3 linked regions of the Schizosaccharomyces pombe genome follow. Changing the gene in region 1 together with any one later gene gives a genetic interaction. Each region holds a gene or a part of one and is shown in the gene's direction. Other genes may lie near its edges.

Region 1 (8,493 bases):
ATAGACGTCGCCACTGCTCCTCATTTTTCACTCATTCATAAAATCAAAATTTAAATACAATCTCCAATACGATAGTTTTTTCTAAATACATTTATGTATAGAAATTGAAGCATATGCACTCAAATTTTTGTTGTGTTTATAAATATACATTGCATCGATTCGTTCGTATGCCATGTTGTCTACTGTGTACGCAACAAAGATTCCTAGACGATATGATGTCACCTCGGTGTCAAAATTAGTCAGTGACCAAAAAAATACAGGAATCCCCCTTATCGCAATGTGAAATGGTGTCTGCAATTCAAACATATCGATCATTAACGTGGCTTTGCAAAACGACTAGTACGAGAGGAAACGATGCAACAGTACAAAATGAAATAGGATAAATATCTGTTTACGCACAGACACTTTGGGAGACATATTTCTAGTGCATAGGTAGTTGGGTAGCTGTTGATAAATCCATGTCAAATAAGCATATTGTTGTACTTTAAAACGAACGAATAAAAAGTAAACATGTCTTAAAAGATAAGATGCTTGGTACGAATAGGAAAGATAACGACTAACTTCTATCAGCAGAGTTACTGTCCATTTCAGTGTAGATGTGTCGCTACAAAGGAGGAATTAACATTTTTCTAGTCCTAGGCCGTTCAAATAGATATCCACAATTTGAAGAACAATTAAACAACATTATCTTTTCCAATTTCAATATTTGAATGAAATTTGCTCATAAATGTGCTTTCCTTTGTGGTTGAATGAGAAAATAATGACAAGACTATAAAATCATGTGCGATTTAAAAGACGAAAATAAAAAAAAAGTCGACAATACGAACGATTATTAAAAATCGTTTTACATCCTTAAAGTATTGTTTATCATCATTAGAAGCATAATCCGAAAGATACCATGGTCTACGATATATGTGCTCTTTGTAAATTTTGATGTTTATACTTTTTTTTGATGTGGGTCAGGTTTGTGACTGGGAATTTGGAGTAAGCTGCGCTCATGCTTCTTAGCGATAATTAGCATAGTTTAATGCTTTTTTAATGAATAATTTATATAGATGTTAGGTTTTAAAACGCAGATTTCTTATTCATATGGAATTCTACTAATTTCTTATGTAGCACACGGAGTATAATATATTTTGCTAATCAATAAGTTAACCGCCAACCTGAAATATTAGAATACTCATCTACTTTGAGCTGTTCCAGGTTACAATTGTACAAGTAGTATCAACCCATCCCTAGTATTTACATAAGTGTTTCCGTACAAACGGTGGGTTACTTACAATAAGATCATTAAAATAATTAATTCTCCTGATTATGGTTCTAAGGTTACTTGGATTTTTGAAAACTCTACTATCAAGTTATGTAAATTAAAAATAGTAAAGCCGGTACTTAATAAAAGTATACATTCTTGCCATTTTTTGGACAGCAATTCGGCTATGTATATTTGATCCTTGGTAGAATCCTTTCGTGTTTTTACTAAGATATACGAAAATATAAGTAGACGAGGATCTCTTACTACCTTTCTAATTGCTAATGTGCTAAGTCAGCCCCAGTTATCACAATCGTACAATGTCAACAATTCACCGGGACGTTACTTATGCAATAACCTAGTTGTAAGGATATTCTCACCGGTAAATCCCAACCCGAAATCAGCACTGAAAAAGAAATCTCTTTGAAACCTCAGTAAAAAAGCATCTCTTTTTACATTGAAAATAAGCTTACTTTGTTGTTTTATTATACTAAATCTGTCTTAGCATAGCGATATAAAACATAATGTTCGCATCGATTTTACTAATTAAGTTAGTGCAAAACCTGTCAATGTTATAAATTGCTCACAGTCGCTTTTCTCCAATTTAGTACTGTAATCCCTCAACTACACACTACTAGAAATTTAATATCCTAAGAAATAACAATGTCTCAAATACTAGCTATGCTCCCAGATAGTTTAGTTGCCAAATGGAATGTTGTGGTCAGTGTAGCGGCGCTTTTCAATACCGTTCAATCGTTTTTGACTCCAAAGTTGACTAAGCGTGTATATAGCAACACTAACGAAGGTAAGAATCATGGTTTTTACGAGTTTAATTGATTTATAATACACATAATAAGCTCTTTAATGATGCTTTTTTTTATTAGCTGATTATTTTTTGCTGACTTTATATCTGTAGTCAATGGATTACAAGGTCGTACTTTTGGCATCTGGACATTACTAAGTGCCATAGTGCGTTTTTATTGCGCATATCATATAACAAATCCAGAGTATGTTGAATCAAATCAAACATTCAATTTCCAAAATCATCTGATATTGTCTAACTTCTATTAGTGTGTATTTTCTATGCCAATGCACATATTATTTAGCCTGCTTTCATTTCCTATCTGAATGGCTTTTGTTCCGTACTACTAACTTGGGACCAGGATTGTTGAGTCCAATTGTGGTATCGACCGTTAGCATTTGGTTTATGGCGAAAGAAAAAGCCTCGATTTTGGGGATCGCTGCTTAACCTTTTTTTACTCCCCCATTTTACGTATACTATATTGCTTGGAGAGAAGAGAAGAAAAAGAATCAACATAAATCCATCATTTTTATGCCTTCGGGCTTTAATGCAATGGTTCTATTTCTAAACCATTCTTCAAATTTTTAGTTTAGATTCTAGAATGTTGATGATTTTAAAAAAATTAAGGAAAAGCATGGTGTCTTGTTTTTCGATTTCTTTGCCCAAAGACATAGTAGGGACTAAAAACCAATAGTAATATAACCACTTCAACTTCAATTTGCAACATTGTTAGTTCAAACTTAACCAGAACTTACAAAATCATAGCAAATATCGGAATTAAAAACAAATGTTAACAAAAAAAAGTATTTAACTTTAGTTTCAATTAGGCAATAGAACTGCAGTACGGTCATTCATAAACCGGAACATCTCAATTACAAGATAACCATAAATTAAATGTCATCAGCCATCCAGGACATCTTGTCACGATTTTCAGCCAATATAACTGTGTCACCGGGATTGAAGGCAGGCATTCCTATATACGGGCATCCACTACAACGAAAAGCGTCGCCAAGATAGCAATTTCCGCAACTTGAGACGGCATTTTTACTCTTGAGCTTCTCGGTGAAATCAACTTCGGTGGTGTCTGTAAGTTTTACAGCTTCTAACTGTGCGGATGTCTTGGAAGACTCGTGTTCTTCCATTTCACGTAATCCACAGGTACAGTTCTTGCAAGCACGCTTTTTCTTTCCAGGTTCAGGTTTGCACTCGGGCACTTTTAAAACATTATCGTGGGCACTTTCGTCTAACAACTCATCTTCATCGATGAGTTCTTGATCATCATCACCACTAATAAGGTTTTCCTTGTCAGATTTTAAGAAATCAAGAATTTTGTTTTTGCTCGCTGATTGACCATTTTTGTTTGATAATTTAATGGGAACTGCTTCCACCTGATTGGGACGAGATAAAATCCAAGGACTCTTTGATTCAATAAGCCATCCAGATAGCAAAGCTGTCATTTCAAATGACTCGTCTGCTTCATCGGCAGTAGAATAAACACGAAGTGTTCCTCCAGGATGTACTGATGCAAAGGCTTGTGAAAGTATAGGTCCTAGAGTTGAAGACCATGCACCATCATCAATGGCAGCAATAACTGAATCATATCGATTGATGGGTAAATTAACAAGTTGAGATTGGACGCGATCTATCATTTGCAACTCTCTAGAAGCACCATTATCGATAAGGTCAAAAACTTTTTTCAAAGACTCCTCTTTTGAAGCAAAGCCGGGAGACGTCAAAACAAGGACAGAAGATGACATATTGAGAGAAGATATTAACAGCTTAAACAAAAGCAAAAAAAGTAATTAAAATTATTATATTATTACACGTTTCAGCGAAATGAAACCCTTAGCAATTGGTAAGTAAACCCACCAACGAATACAAAAAACACTATCAATAATAAAAATAAAAACGAAATCTAGATCGTTGTAACGTATGTACAGACAATTAGAAAAAAGTCAAAAACTGTCTTCCTTTTACCGGTCTGAAAGTGGTAAAATTTTTCTTTTAATCAACGGATAAACAAAAAAGTTATCTGTAGATATAATATGAAAATTTCCACGCCTTAACGTTATGAAATGATCAATTATAGAGAAATAATACTCAAACAATAAAAAAAAGGAATGATTAGTATTTTGTTCTTGTTAAATTCTATTTACCACAAGTGGCGACGCTGTAAATTTAACCTGTTGATTGGTAATCCGTCAGCATGTCTTAAAATGAATAGAATCCAATCATGTGGCACTGTAAGGCATATAGCTAAAACAATATTGTGGTTTTCTTATATATCGTTATTTATGCTTATGAAGTACTGCGCATTTCGGTAAGTCATTGATTTCTACTTTGTTCATACTGATCGAACAAGTCAACGGAATCACCGGCTAATCGACTGAAATGTCGGGTCAAGTGAAAACTTGTGTTGTACTTTTGGCTGCACGCAACTATTTCCAGCTTTGAGAACCATTTTTTTGGTAATTTACATTTAATAGTCAAATATTTTTAGCCCTGTGTTTTTTCGAGAAATTTGATATTCGTATTTTGCCGTGGGTGTCATATACAAATTACATATCGACTGTATAAGATAATAATGATAACTTTATGTAAGACTAGAGGGTTTTTTACTTCAAAAAGAAGGATTTATTAAATGCAATACTATCAAATGATGAAGGCGTTACGAATGTTAAAAAAACCGAAGCCAGGTTGTTTGGGTATTGAAATTCAGAGTGTTCCTATTCCCCAACCAAAGAATGGAGAGTTGCTTGTAAAAATTGAAGCTGCTGCCATCAACCCCAGTGATCTAATGAACGCAACAGGGGGTTTCCCGTATACTGTTTATCCTCGAATCGTTGGGCGAGATTATGCTGGTACTGTAATTAGTGGCGCATCTCATTTAGTAGGAACTCGAGTGTTTGGAACGAGCGGTAGCGAACTATCATTCACTAAAGACGGTACTCATGCTGAATACTGCATAATACCGGAAAAAGCAGCTGTTCGTATGCCAAGCAATTTGTCGTTTACTGAGGCAGCATCAGTCGGTGTCCCTTTTACAACCGCTTATTTGGCTTTAAGCAGAGGAGAAACCAAAGGCAGCGATATAGTACTAGTGGTTGGAGCCTTAGGTGCTGTCGGGTCGGCTGTTTGTCAAATAGCAGAGGATTGGGGATGTAAGGTAATCACAGTGTCTAGGAGCGGCTCAACCGATATCAATACAGTGGTGGATCCGGAATTAAAAAGGGTCCACGAATTGGTTGAGAAAGTTGATGTGGTAATCGATACGGTGGGCGATCCTTTGTTGATGAAATCGGCTCTCAATCAATTGGGAATAGGGGGAAGGTTGTCTTATATTTCCGCACCTAAGCAAGGGAGTATAGAATTTTCGTATGACATGAAACAAATATATCGCAAAAATCTGAAGATTATTGGGTGCAATTCTCTCTTACTTTCGTTAGTGGAATCAAACTCACTATTAAAGAATATGGTCGCCAAGTTTGAAGCAGGGAAATATAAGGTATTAAACAAGAAAATTGCTGAAACATCTCTTACTGATGAATGTATAAATTCATATAGAAAACTTATGAATGAATGTTCTACAAAGTTTGTGATTACTATGAGCACAAATTAAGCGTCCGAAATACAGACTTACCAAATTGTTTTTTCTGTATAATCAGTAAATTTTAAAAGAACTATAAATATTTGCTTTGATCTTTCATATCGTTTATTATTATTATTATTATAAAGAGGTATCTATTCGTTAATGAAAAAAACAATTTTGAGCTACGCTTTAAAGAAGGATTATTTAAATTAAGTAAAAAGGATTTCATTATAATTAAAGCAATATTGTTTTAATACTGATAATTTAAGATAGTTTTTTTTAAAATATCGTTATAAAGCGTCGGTAATTACATTGATGCTACTCCGACATTGTTGGTGCCACCGACTACGCTACTCTAATCTGTCGACTTAGAAATACCTTACCACATCTAATTACTGTAAGAATTTATTTCAAGGACTTTTTCATAGTTTTTTTGTTTTTGTAACGACGTTTTCAAAAAGGTCATTGTCAAACATATAAGCTCTTGCCTGTCGTTAAAAAAAGTAAAGACCTTGGTTAATCGTTGTCGTTCAATTATTTGGGCATTTAACTTAAACAGTTTTGTTTAAGGAAAGGTTCTCAAAGACTTTTTTTTAAAAGATTCACTTATAGAACGAAAGACCATTAAAGTGGAAAACCACTCATTTTAAAACATTGAGCAAACAAGAGCTTTTGCATAATATATCAAGTGGTGGTTTAAAACAGGAAATACTTGGACGATTCAAGTTCAATAAAAGACATTAAAGCTGTTGGTTTATTTTACAAAAAAAAACATCCGTTCGTTATATTTATTTATTAGTTCTAGGCGGCATTCACAATGAACGAGCAACAATTGCTGGAAAATATTGCTTCATTAGCTGGTACGTTTTGATTAAATTGTATTAACGTCTTTTGATTGTCTGTTATACAGAATAAATTTGGTCGACTTTGAAGTTGGATTGGTTTAACTAATGAGCTTTTTGGTTTTTGAAACCAATGAATAATTAGGATTTTCAAGGAGACAGATTTTATGCAAAAAAATATCTTTATGTTTCTTTATTTATGAAACGCTCAGTAATAATATAACTAACCTTTAGGTGCTATCAATCAATATAAAAATGAAAAAGGTAAGATGCCCATTTATGAGGAACTTTGACTCATGATTTTAGCAGAACCTACCCAGGTTTTAGATGCCGCTAAAGCAAATAAGAATACTCGTTCGTATCCCTATTCTGTTTCTAGGAACTATTCTTTTATCCTCAATAAATCCAATCGCTCGAAATCGACAGCTGCTAGCCCTCCATATGTGATACCGTCAACATCATCGAATGCAGACGATGCCAATAAGGAACCTGAAAAACAATCCACATCTGACTATGTATCACGGAAAAACAGACATATGCAACTGATTAAAAAAAATATTCTTGAACATGATTTGCAAGCGAGAAAAGCTAATTTGGAGAGCTACAGAGCCAAGCTTGAGAAAGAATACAAAACTTTAGCCGAAAATAAAATCCAGCAAAGATTATCCGATGGTACTAAACAATTAGTAACTATTGACGGACTGCAGTATATTACCGGTGTATCTGATACCAAGTGGTTGGAATTTGTTAGTGCTAAGGGACAATGTCCAAAATATTTATATTGGAATAATAAGTCTTATCTTCTTAAAAAGAAGAGGTTTCTCAAGGAGGTTGGAAATTCACCTTCAGCTGTTTATTGCCGTTATTATAATGCTAATGGAATTTGTGGGAAGGGAGCAGCATGCAGATTCGTGCATGAGCCCACCCGCAAAACGATATGTCCGAAATTTTTGAATGGTCGATGTAATAAAGCAGAAGATTGTAATTTGTCACATGAATTAGATCCCAGACGAATTCCTGCATGCCGGTATTTTCTATTAGGAAAATGCAATAACCCAAATTGTCGATATGTGCACATTCATTACTCTGAAAATGCCCCTATATGTTTTGAATTTGCCAAGTACGGTTTCTGTGAGTTAGGGACGTCTTGCAAAAATCAACATATTCTTCAGTGTACCGATTATGCTATGTTTGGTTCGTGTAATAATCCACAATGCTCTCTCTATCATGGTGCTGTTTCCGCTGATGTACCAGAACAAACAGAAGCTCCAATATCGAAGACTGCTGGTTCTATAAATCCAGAAGACTCTGGATCGGAAATTGGAAGTAATTCCTTAGAAAGCAACTTGGATTTTATATCCGTTTAGATAATTCGTTTAGCAGTTTGATCTTGTAGAATTAAATTATCGTGTAGTTACGCAATGTCTAAACTTTTGATGATAATGAGTTATAATTTTCTATTAATTGAATACAATAAATTTTTAAAAAATATCATAAGATTTAGAAAGAAAATAGAAAAAGATTTCAACTAGTTGATAAAGAATATTATTTTTTAAAGACTAAAACTAAGAGGCTAGGTAATTACAGCAACAAGAGTAAAATACATTAGATCCACATTTTTTACGATTATCAAAGAAAAAAGAACAAGATTGATGGATCTATCAAACGGAAAATTAAGGTTGCAGTTGAATACCGTCCGAAGCGCTCTTTGAAGCTTCTATAAATCGTCGAGCACTTTGAATGTTCATAAGGGTTACTGCTGATTCGATTTCTGGATCAGCAATGACCACCAATATGTATGTGTCCTCAGTATATGGAACAATGAATGCAGAGAAATTACCACCACGAAGCTCAAAAGTAGTAAATTGAGCTTGCATTTTGCTACAACTGAGTTTAAATTGCTTAACAATATTGCTAATTTTTTCGAACCTGTGAGCATCAGTGGCAGGATTGGACTCAGAAGAATAAGAAGAAATAACCAAAAATGTTGTTCTTTCAAATAATATTACCT
Region 2 (5,606 bases), on another chromosome or scaffold:
TCGCACAAGGAATTTACGAAGTTTTGCTATGAAGTGTATAATGAGATTAAAATTAGTGACAAAGAGTTTAAAGAAAAGAGAGCGGCATTAGATACACTTCGGCTATGCCTTAAACGAATATCCCCTGGTATGTTTGAATATAAATTTAGGACTGTCTCAATTATGTAGTTAACGAGAGTGGAGACTTTACCAAATATTGATAATGTCCAATTCTAATGATATGTGACTTAGATGCTGAATTGGTAGCCTTTGGAAGTTTGGAATCTGGTTTAGCACTTAAAAATTCGGATATGGATTTGTGCGTGCTTATGGATTCGCGCGTCCAAAGTGATACAATTGCGCTCCAATTCTATGAAGAGCTTATAGCTGAAGGTAAGTATAATTATTCATTAAAAGTTATTCAGTTTAGACAAACTATCTCTGAATATTGTTTTTTTCCTTTCCAGTTGGCTCGCATAACTAACTATCGACAGGATTTGAAGGAAAATTTTTACAAAGGGCAAGAATTCCCATTATCAAATTAACATCTGATACGAAAAATGGATTTGGGGCTTCGTTTCAATGTGATATTGGATTTAACAATCGTCTAGCTATTCATAATACGCTTTTACTTTCTTCATATACAAAATTAGATGCTCGCCTAAAACCCATGGTCCTTCTTGTTAAGCATTGGGCCAAACGGAAGCAAATCAACTCTCCTTACTTTGGAACTCTTTCCAGTTATGGTTACGTCCTAATGGTTCTTTACTATCTGATTCACGTTATCAAGCCTCCCGTCTTTCCTAATTTACTGTTGTCACCTTTGAAACAAGAAAAGATAGTTGATGGATTTGACGTTGGTTTTGACGATAAACTGGAAGATATCCCTCCTTCCCAAAATTATAGCTCATTGGGAAGTTTACTTCATGGCTTTTTTAGATTTTATGCTTATAAGTTCGAGCCACGGGAAAAGGTAGTAACTTTTCGTAGACCAGACGGTTACCTCACAAAGCAAGAGAAAGGATGGACTTCAGCTACTGAACACACTGGATCGGCTGATCAAATTATAAAAGACAGGTATATTCTTGCGATTGAAGATCCTTTCGAGATTTCACATAATGTGGGTAGGACAGTTAGCAGTTCTGGATTGTATCGGATTCGAGGGGAATTTATGGCCGCTTCAAGGTTGCTCAATTCTCGCTCATATCCTATCCCTTATGATTCATTATTTGAGGAGGCCCCAATTCCGCCTCGTCGCCAGAAAAAAACGGATGAACAATCTAACAAAAAATTGTTGAATGAAACCGATGGTGACAATTCTGAGTGATTTTACAAAGAAGTCTTAAAAAGCGCATCAATATTCATTCCCCTAGATTCATAGTAATCATTCATTATTACTCTGCTTTTATTTGCTTACTTTTGAAAGCATGGAATGTTTTTATTTTTCTTTAAAAATTTTGACCTCTTGTTTCTAATACCTTTCCCCCTTTGTTTTATGTACAACCTCTTGTTAATAGTCTACTTGTTGGTGAGAAAATAGGCTCATCATAGTTAACATCAATGTCCAAAAAATTTTCATAGATCTATAATTAATAATTATTTATTGCAAATGCTAAGCTATTGTTTATATCAATTTCTTTAAATTGAACGGAAATAACCAAATATTTTTTCGTTTAGCCTCGGTAATGTGCGTAAACACATATAAAGAGTTTATCTTTTTTTCTTAATTACTATAGCGTACAGAAATTATTTTAGCTTATCAAATTTTTTCGTAAAATTCATATTGTTTCCAAATTTGTAGACGCATTGCAGCATGCTAACCATCACATTTGAACTTTTACCAAACATTCAGCTGGGTCTATTTCCCTTCTGTTCGTTGGTACAATTCATTAGAACATAATAAATTTGGCATTTTTCTCAAGGTGGGTATTTAACTATATTTCGAGATTTTGATGCTTTAAGCAAAAATGAGGATAACGAAAAGTCCTCCTAAAAATCAATATTCTCAGCCACCTCCTAGGGTTGCTGAGTTTATTAGACAAGCTCAAAATGAAGAAGTAACTTCAGACTTGGGTCTTGTCTCTCTTTGTTCAGAATTCAGAAAAAACGATTGGCCATATCCTCGTGGCGATTTGTATTCATGGGTCCCAGTTTTGAATAGGTTTGATGCTATTCTGGAACGTATTGTTGAACATTATTCTTTAAAGGATAAAGTTCAGACAAAACCTTTTGATTCTGACACTTTGAGTATCTTGTTAGAGATCCTGAGCTTTTCGGCGCATCTGCTTAGTCATTGCGCGAATCGCTCCATATATAACTCTACTGTTTATCTAGAGTATTTATTAAATAGCTCTGTGCTCGAAGTTATAGATTCTACATTAGCCTTGCTTCTTCATATTGTACAAAAAGCAACGATTTCAAAGCGAGGAAAGCAGCTGTTTTCTCTTTCACAAGATCGGTTATTTCGCTTTTTAATGTTTCTTCCTCAAGATGCAATGAAAACCGGATTTTCACAAAATTACGAGACTTTGTTATTTTCAAATGAGATCCCGCAAGAATGGTGTTCTTTGGAGCTTTCTTATTATAAAAGCTCTCCATCAAAAGATTTTTCATCTGCAAGTCAACCAAATTCTGAAGGATTTTCGATTTTAAAATTACCATATAATAAAGTTCTTGGAAAGCCTATAGAAGAGCTTCTTGTGAAAACTTTGCACGATAATCAGATTCCTGAACAATATTCATTTGATCTCCTTGTTTCACTAATGTTACGTCAAAATCTTTATGATATAAATAGACGGCGCTTGATGATTCGTATCGGATTATTGGCTCTTTCTAATCTTGTTTATGCTCATTCTCAGGCAGTTCAAACAAGATTTTTAATCGCCGATCCGGAAATCACCACCCATTTAGCTAATTTGGTTTCTCCAGATGTGGATCTTCCTCAAAACTTTAAAGCTGTTTGTTTTGAATGTTTTAAAGCTTTCTTCTTTAAGAAGAGTATGATTCCATCTGTACTGGCATCTTTAAATGTATCTGTTAGTTACGGATTAATGATGAATCTCGTTCGTGATTTTTCTAAAAACTTAGAAAACCCGAATTTCTATTACGAGAGAGAATATGTTGATAGTTTTTATGACTTCCTTCAATTTATGACTTCATCGCCTCTTGGCGGTAACATGGCCTGTTCTGCAGGTCTCACTTCTCTTTTGGGTTATCATCTGTCTGTGAAGACTCCACAGGCTACTTATGTTGTAGCAAGATCGATTGTCATGTTGGACCATCTCATCGATGGTTACTCTATGGCATTCCCAGATTTTTCTGAGTCTAAAGGATTGGATATGCTGGTTGACCGTGTTCAATACGAGCTTGAGGCTGGACTTCAAGATATTAAATCTGGAAAAGGTAACCCAGAGATTGTTTTAAATATGGATTATGCCATTTCATATGACCGTTACTTCCTTCTAAAAAATTTACTCAAGTTTGTGTTACATCTAATTCAATCAGGTGGCTCTGTCGTTGAGCTTCGTAATTTAATTGATTCTTCTCTCATTTCATCCCTTGCTTTTCTGCTAGAGCACCATGAAGTCTATGGCTCCAACTTATTCGCATCTACTACTAATATAATGTCAACATTCATCCATAATGAGCCTACTTGCTATGGAATTATTCATGAAAAGAAATTGTCACATGCATTTTTGGATGCTGTCAATCGGAAAATACTCAATTCTTCTGATGCAATAACATCAATTCCTTTAGCTTTTGGTGCAATATGCTTGAACTCTCAAGGGTTTGATTTATTTTTAGAGAAAAATCCTATCCCACAACTTTTCTCAATATTCACATCGTTAAATCATTGTAAGTCACTTATATCAAGCGATAATGCTGCCATCCTTGGTACTTACATCGACGAACTTATGCGGCATCAACCCTCCCTTAAAGATCCAATTGTGAAGATGATATTTAAAGCCTGTGACCAGGTTTCCGCTCTTCTTGACAATTTCAATCCATTTCAATATATAAATGCCAAAGAATATCCTTATTTGTTGTATCTTGAAACATTTTCTAGTTTTCTTGAAAATATTATTACAAACGAAGGTCACGCAAGGTATTTAATATCCAAAGGGATTGTGTCGCACGTGCTCAATCTCATTCAACATCCCGTACTGGCTTTTGGATTTATAGACTCTTCTGCCTTCAACTCGTTTTTTGTTCTTTTACATCATGCAGTTGATTTTGATGCTCCAGAGGTCTTTCGGCCCTTGCTAGACTGTATAATTACTCGATGTGAAGAAGGCATTACTGAGTTTACTATAGTCTCACTGAAACAAGCCACGATTTCATTGATAAAGGACTCAAATATGGGCCACGAAGATGCAAATAATTTTCTACATTTCTCAATCGTTGGGAATTTGCTGACTATTTTCGCTGAGCTATTTTCTTCCCATGCTGCATTGAAAAAAGCTGGAAATCTTCCATTAGTTCAACTTTTTATTAGTCCTTCACGTTATGCTGGTATTTTTGATATTTTATGTAATATTAAAAGCATTGCAACATCATTGGACATACATATATGTTTAGGTGTTTCTGATGACTTTGTTCTTTGCAGTGACTCCTTGACTACCATCGTTACCGACAAAGATGAAAAAGAAAAGTTTGAGACAAAGAAAAAGGAATTAACACAAGATTCATCTTTTTGTAAATTTCAGAATATACGTTCGAATTTTTCTCAAATTGCTTATGGAGTATCTAAGTTTTTCACTTCATTAACTCGAGCTTTAGGAAATACAAGCGTACAAGATTTCAATGAATACAAAATGATTCATAAACTTGGTAGTAATATCGCTCTTGTTGTTGATGAACTTATTAACTTATCAAGCAAGCAAATCACATCTCATCCGCAATCCCTCAGTATTGCTTCTTTAGAGGCCTCCTTAATTTTTGTTTTAGGTGCTTCATCCATAATTCGAGAAGATGATTCAAAGGTTACTCTTGTGCTTCTGATCAGTCGTCTACTGGGTGGGTGTCGAACAATGGATGTATTGATTAGCTTAAATGAGACCGTTTCTGGCTTTTTTCGTTTGTCCGATAGAGATCCTCTTTCCAAGAGTAATCGTGTTTTGCTTGCTCTTTCATCCACCTTATTGAACTTGATTCTTGTATTCACAAGTGCTGACTTTATGTCCGAAACAAGTAAAACGTTAAACATGGCTTTAAAATCCGAGTTCGATATGACTGATTTTAACAACAGCGGTTCAAAACTTATGCACGTTTTGCATGCCCGAATTTTTATTTCAGTTTTGCATTTATGGCGATCTGCTGACGACTTACACCTTCCTTATATCACAAGAGCATTATTGACGAATGTTTTGTCCAACTGTTACCAATTTGAAGATGGTATCAAAAATGTAGTGGATTCGATTAACAATTTGCGGACATCGATAGCTAATGGTGATATTAAAGAACCACTGGATGTTGTGACGGATGATAACACGAATAGCAATTTTTCATTAGAAGAAACAAATGCCTCTGTAACAGATATGCCAGAATCCGAAAAACATGAAAATGGAATTTTTCAAGCTTACCTTCTCAAAGAGATGCCTAATGACATTGTTTCACAGTTTGAGATG
Region 3 (4,491 bases), 650 kb from region 1:
TACTGGAAGTGAATTTAATAATATAAATTACTATCATTATTAAAGATAAACATATAAATCTCGTAGCGTCATCATAAAAAGTGTAAATCCTTAACTCACAGAAAATGCGTTATAGAATAAACAGTATCAAACCACATAAACTTTACGAAGAAGTTGGAATGGAAACTCTTTGCCAGAATAAGGGTCTCTAAGAAATCCTTCTCTAGTCCCATTAGCTTCGTTCCAACTTATGAGGCTCTGGATACCATAAACTCGACCGTTCGGGAAAGCAACAGGACAATTGTCGCTGTCAAGTCCTTCGCCTGTCAGAGAATCCACTATCGCAGACTGAGTAATATGGGCATAAGGAAGAGCTTTGCCAAGGTCATTTAAGCAGGGCGTACATACAGGGCATTGTTTCACAGTCTGGGATTGTAATGCTAAAGGATTATCATCATTCGCGTCAAGATAACACAACGGGGTTTTCAGGGAAGATAGACCAGCAGCTAACAATGCATGTAAAAGAGGTACAGACGGTATATTATGAACGGCAGTAAAATTGCTGGTAAACAAGGAAGCCAAATATTCCCATCGGTCATCGGATAGAAGCAACTAATTTGTCAGTATAAGCTAAGAGCAGAGGTCTCTCAATGTAAACTTACCGAATATGGTGAACCATTCGTAAATTCAGGAAAAGCTAGTAGGGCAGCCGCTAGCTGTAGTCGAGCAGGATGTTCATTTGCCCAAGTACCGAAGTGCGCTTTGGCGAATGCAATGGCTTGGCAAAGTTTTTTACTTTTTATTAATTCTATAAATCTCTGTAGTCGGACCTCAAGCTCTAATGTACTATTATTTTTTTTTAAAATTGCTCGATGCTCCGAACACCAAGACAAAACCTCTTTGAGCTCCTGTTGAAGAATGGAATCGTGAATGAGCTGATAACGCTTATATATGCCTAAATCAACCAAATTCTCCAACTGAGAGTCTTTACAAAGTAGAGCAGCTGCCCCATGGTACCCATTCGCCATCATATAATCAGCAACTAAACGATTCAGTCTGACTCTTGACCAATCTAAAAAATCCGCAGATTCCATGTCACGAATTCCTTGAAGACGATTCATGAACAACAGTCGTGACTTAGTTTGCTTGATAAACAGAGCTTCACAATCATGCAAATGCTTCATCTACACAAAGAACCATGTAAGTTACAAATATCCAACTCAAAAAAAGAATCAATCAAACTTACCTTCTTCTTTACAGTACTGACTCTTGAAAGGAGAGAATCTATTTTTTCTATTTTTTCATCCATTGATGCATTCTCTTGACTGATCAACGTTGTCAATGTGGAATTGATCACATGCGATTCATGCTCCAAGTGCCGCAAAATGTGTTTGAAGTTAATGCGCAATTGCTCAAAAGAGAGAAGAATACCAGGCTTTTCAAGTATATATTGCTGCTCTGGACGAAAATTCATGTTTGAAGGCAAAGTCTAACAAACTATTGGTAGATGGACCCAAAAATTTAAATCAACTAAAGAATATTGAATATTTTAAGAATAAGAAAGTAATTAGAAGAATTTGTTTAAATGTAAGGAAAACAGCAATTGCAGAAAGACGATGGGTTGTTGGCGAAAGATACACTTTCTAGGACCGTAGTGCAAGATGAATGAAAAATAAGGAGAGCTAAAAAACAATAAAAAAAGAGGTGCATATATTAATTTATGTCAGGAAAATCTGCAATTGGTATGGAAATCTCCTTTTTGGAATGCCCCGGGTTAATTTTTACCAGTCGACATTTTCGTGCCAAGTACCAATTTTCAAATGTCGCTGGAAAAGTCCTTGGACGAAATTATAAATGAAAGAACGGTAAATTTTTTTATTTTCGATATTTGTTTTAACAATCCTAGAATGGTTTTGATCACAAGCACAGTCGGCGAAGGGGATCTCAAAATCGTATTTCCAAAAAATCGCGATTGGTATGCTAATTTCGAGGATTAAGTGTTTATTTACTAATTTTTTACTTTTTAAGACCTACAAATTCAAAAGAGCATCAAAAGAACACAACTCTAGTCCAGACGATGGCCCGTGGCAGCATGACTTGGATCAAGAGCAGGATGCTCATCCAAGGACCACTCACCTACAGAAAAGACAACAGTATGTTTTGAATTTATAAGATAAGCTGTAAACTTTTTTATTACTCTATTAGCTCTTAGTCTACATGCACTGTTATTATCATTATATACTAACACAGCAATCTTAGCTCAGAAAATCGATTTGGGGTTCGTGTGGAAAACTTACATTATCAGGTTTTGGAAAAAGATGTTTTGGTAAGTGATATATGTTTACTATGTTTTCAAAAGCCTCGCTTTTAGTTTTCGATTGAAGATTATGAAACGAACCTGACAAAAAATCTCCCTGTCAAGCTAAGTAGAGCTTTGTTCCGATTTCGAATCGCTTTTTTTATTAATAAACTAACCTTTTCTTAAGTCTTTGTTTGAAAATTTCCATCCAATTCGCGTGATTATGAACTATGATCGTGCAGGTCGCTCTGAAGGCTCCTGCGATGTTTACTTTGAAACTTCCCAAGATGCTGAAGATGCCCAGAAGACGCTTCAATCTACGAACTTGAAGGGCTCCGAAATTCAAATTTCGAAAAAGTCTCCACCTTCCTTATTCGATCGGATTTCCGACATGCCACATTCAGCCCGCAAACCAAGCCGGTCTTCTCGTTCGAACCGAGGATTCAACCGTTCTTCAAAAAAAGACGACAGATCATTTCGTTCTTCTTCAAAAAAGTCTTCTAATAATTCAATTTCACACGAAGATTTAGACAAAGAACTTGACGAATACGCAATGTCATTTCACGCTGCTTCAACTGTGTCATCTCACTCATCACAGGATTTCACACCGTCAATAGCCAATGCTCATGAGAAAAACGAGCCTGTTGCTCCTTCAAAAGATAGTAATTTGACCGAGGAGATGGACCTCCAAATGGAAGCGGTTTAAGCTCGAATTGCTGTGCAAGTAACCCTTTTCCTATGCCAAAAGTTGATTATTGAGTCAATTGCTTTGATTTGTACATTATAAAAACGAACCGGCTAAAAGGACATCTTTCATCATAACCCCTTACTTTATATATAGATGCTCGTCAATTTCCATCGTCTTCCTTCTTCTACCACAATCGTACGAATCGTACCAAAAATTAAAATTTGCAGCAGACAGATTCATATTACCTTGCAAGGCCAAAAATTTATTAATTTTATTTTTTTTATTTATGTTTATAAGTGCTTGTTAACGAAAGAGATATTTTGTTTTTGTTTCTGGCATTATTCCATTCTATTCCTACTACAGTGATCATAGCAATTAACAATACATCATCACTGTGCTCTTGTAATTTGATTGAATCGTTTTTGACACAATCTTTCATTCTTTAAAATAAAATAAATTTATATATTTCTACATTACATTCTTATTTGTTAGGTAGAAATGGGATTGGGATTTTCTTCGAAAAAGCAATTACCTGCCTACTGTGGTCCCTTGCCTGTGGGGTCTTTAGTCTTAGAGCTGAGTGTTCCAGAGGAATTTCGATGTGAATATAAAACCATTGAACACAAACTAAGAACCGTAAAAGTACGCATTTTTTATCCATTGGACCCAACAAAAGATGTAGAGCCTCGCACCGATGAGCTTTGGTTACCATTCCATGAGGGTATACCCGAAGTTGCGAAAGGTTTTCGTTGGTGGCTTCTTCGTGCGTTCGCTTCTGGTTTGACCAACTTAGCTTTGCCCGTCTACAAAGGAGAGTTGTTTCATCCACCGAACAATGGGAAACTGCCAGTATTTATCTTCAGCCATGGATTGGTTGGCTCGAGAAATGTGTATTCTTCGTTATGTGGTACAATCGCTTCCTATGGTATCGTCGTCTTGGCCATGGAGCATAGAGATAACTCGGCCATCATATCTACAGTGCGTGATCCATTACATCCTGAAGAACCCCCGTACGTTGTTCAGTATCGCGAGATAAGCGACTTTTATGCAGACGCTACGGTTGTGCTTCAGAATGAACGACTTTTATTTCGACAGCAGGAAATCCAAATAGCCCTCCAGATGATTCGAAATATCAATGACCTTGGAACTCCGGACGAAAACTTACCCTTTCTTTGCTCTGTGGACTCTTCTTTTTATAATTCTGTTTTCCAATCCATGAAGGGTAATTTGAATACCGCTCAAGGAGAATTGATTGTTGCTGGTCATTCTTTTGGTGCCGCTACTTGCGCATTCATTTCCGGTTCTTCTACCAAGTCCTTATATAATGACTATATGTTTCACACTGAGTTTAAGTGCTCCATTTTATACGATATATGGATGCTTCCCGTACGCCAGCTCCATTTGAGTACGATGAGGTATCCTACGCTCATGATTATATCTTACGAATTTCGTCGGTTTGTCGACAATTTTCAAGCTCTCGAAAGTTGGCTTGTAAACAAGGATTCAGAAAACCAAAACGCAGGCG

What was found.
Region 2: mutations in red5 (region 1) and ptr1 impair growth when combined (synthetic growth defect), as found in Schizosaccharomyces pombe (one study listed by BioGRID).
Region 3: mutations in red5 (region 1) and tho4 impair growth when combined (synthetic growth defect), as found in Schizosaccharomyces pombe (one study listed by BioGRID).

Annotation. Positions count from the first base shown.
Region 1 is NC_003423.3:1,045,623-1,054,115, forward strand, and holds red5 (zinc finger CCCH domain-containing protein), read left to right. Parts: upstream 1-5,980; 5' UTR 5,981-6,457; coding exon 6,458-6,500; exon of another isoform or gene 6,501-6,574; intron 6,575-6,710; exon of another isoform or gene 6,711-6,716; coding exon 6,717-6,746; exon of another isoform or gene 6,747-6,791; coding exon 6,792-7,849; 3' UTR 7,850-7,993; downstream 7,994-8,493. Other genes in the region: Erg28 protein, read left to right, coding at 1,913-2,054, 2,166-2,256, 2,321-2,498; dre2 (anamorsin family protein), read right to left, coding at 2,942-3,808; SPOM_SPBC337.11 (peptidase), read left to right, coding at 4,693-5,670; Gtr1/RagA G protein Gtr1, read right to left, coding at 8,156-8,493.
Region 2 is NC_003424.3:5,206,830-5,212,435, forward strand, and holds the start of ptr1 (E3 ubiquitin-protein ligase), read left to right. Parts: upstream 1-1,810; 5' UTR 1,811-1,946; coding exon 1,947-5,606. Other genes in the region: terminal uridylyltransferase Cid1, read left to right, coding at 1-127, 232-372, 474-1,306. UniProt on the Schizosaccharomyces pombe protein: Probable ubiquitin ligase protein involved in mRNA export. E3 ubiquitin ligase proteins mediate ubiquitination and subsequent proteasomal degradation of target proteins.
Region 3 is NC_003423.3:399,658-404,148, reverse strand, and holds tho4 (THO complex subunit), read left to right. Parts: upstream 1-1,783; 5' UTR 1,784-1,799; coding exon 1,800-1,844; intron 1,845-1,885; coding exon 1,886-1,954; intron 1,955-2,007; coding exon 2,008-2,132; intron 2,133-2,149; exon of another isoform or gene 2,150-2,238; coding exon 2,239-2,305; exon of another isoform or gene 2,306-2,465; coding exon 2,466-2,984; 3' UTR 2,985-3,195; downstream 3,196-4,491. Other genes in the region: gid9 (ubiquitin ligase complex subunit), read right to left, coding at 127-591, 642-1,163, 1,226-1,453; plg7 (1-alkyl-2-acetylglycerophosphocholine esterase), read left to right, coding at 3,465-4,491.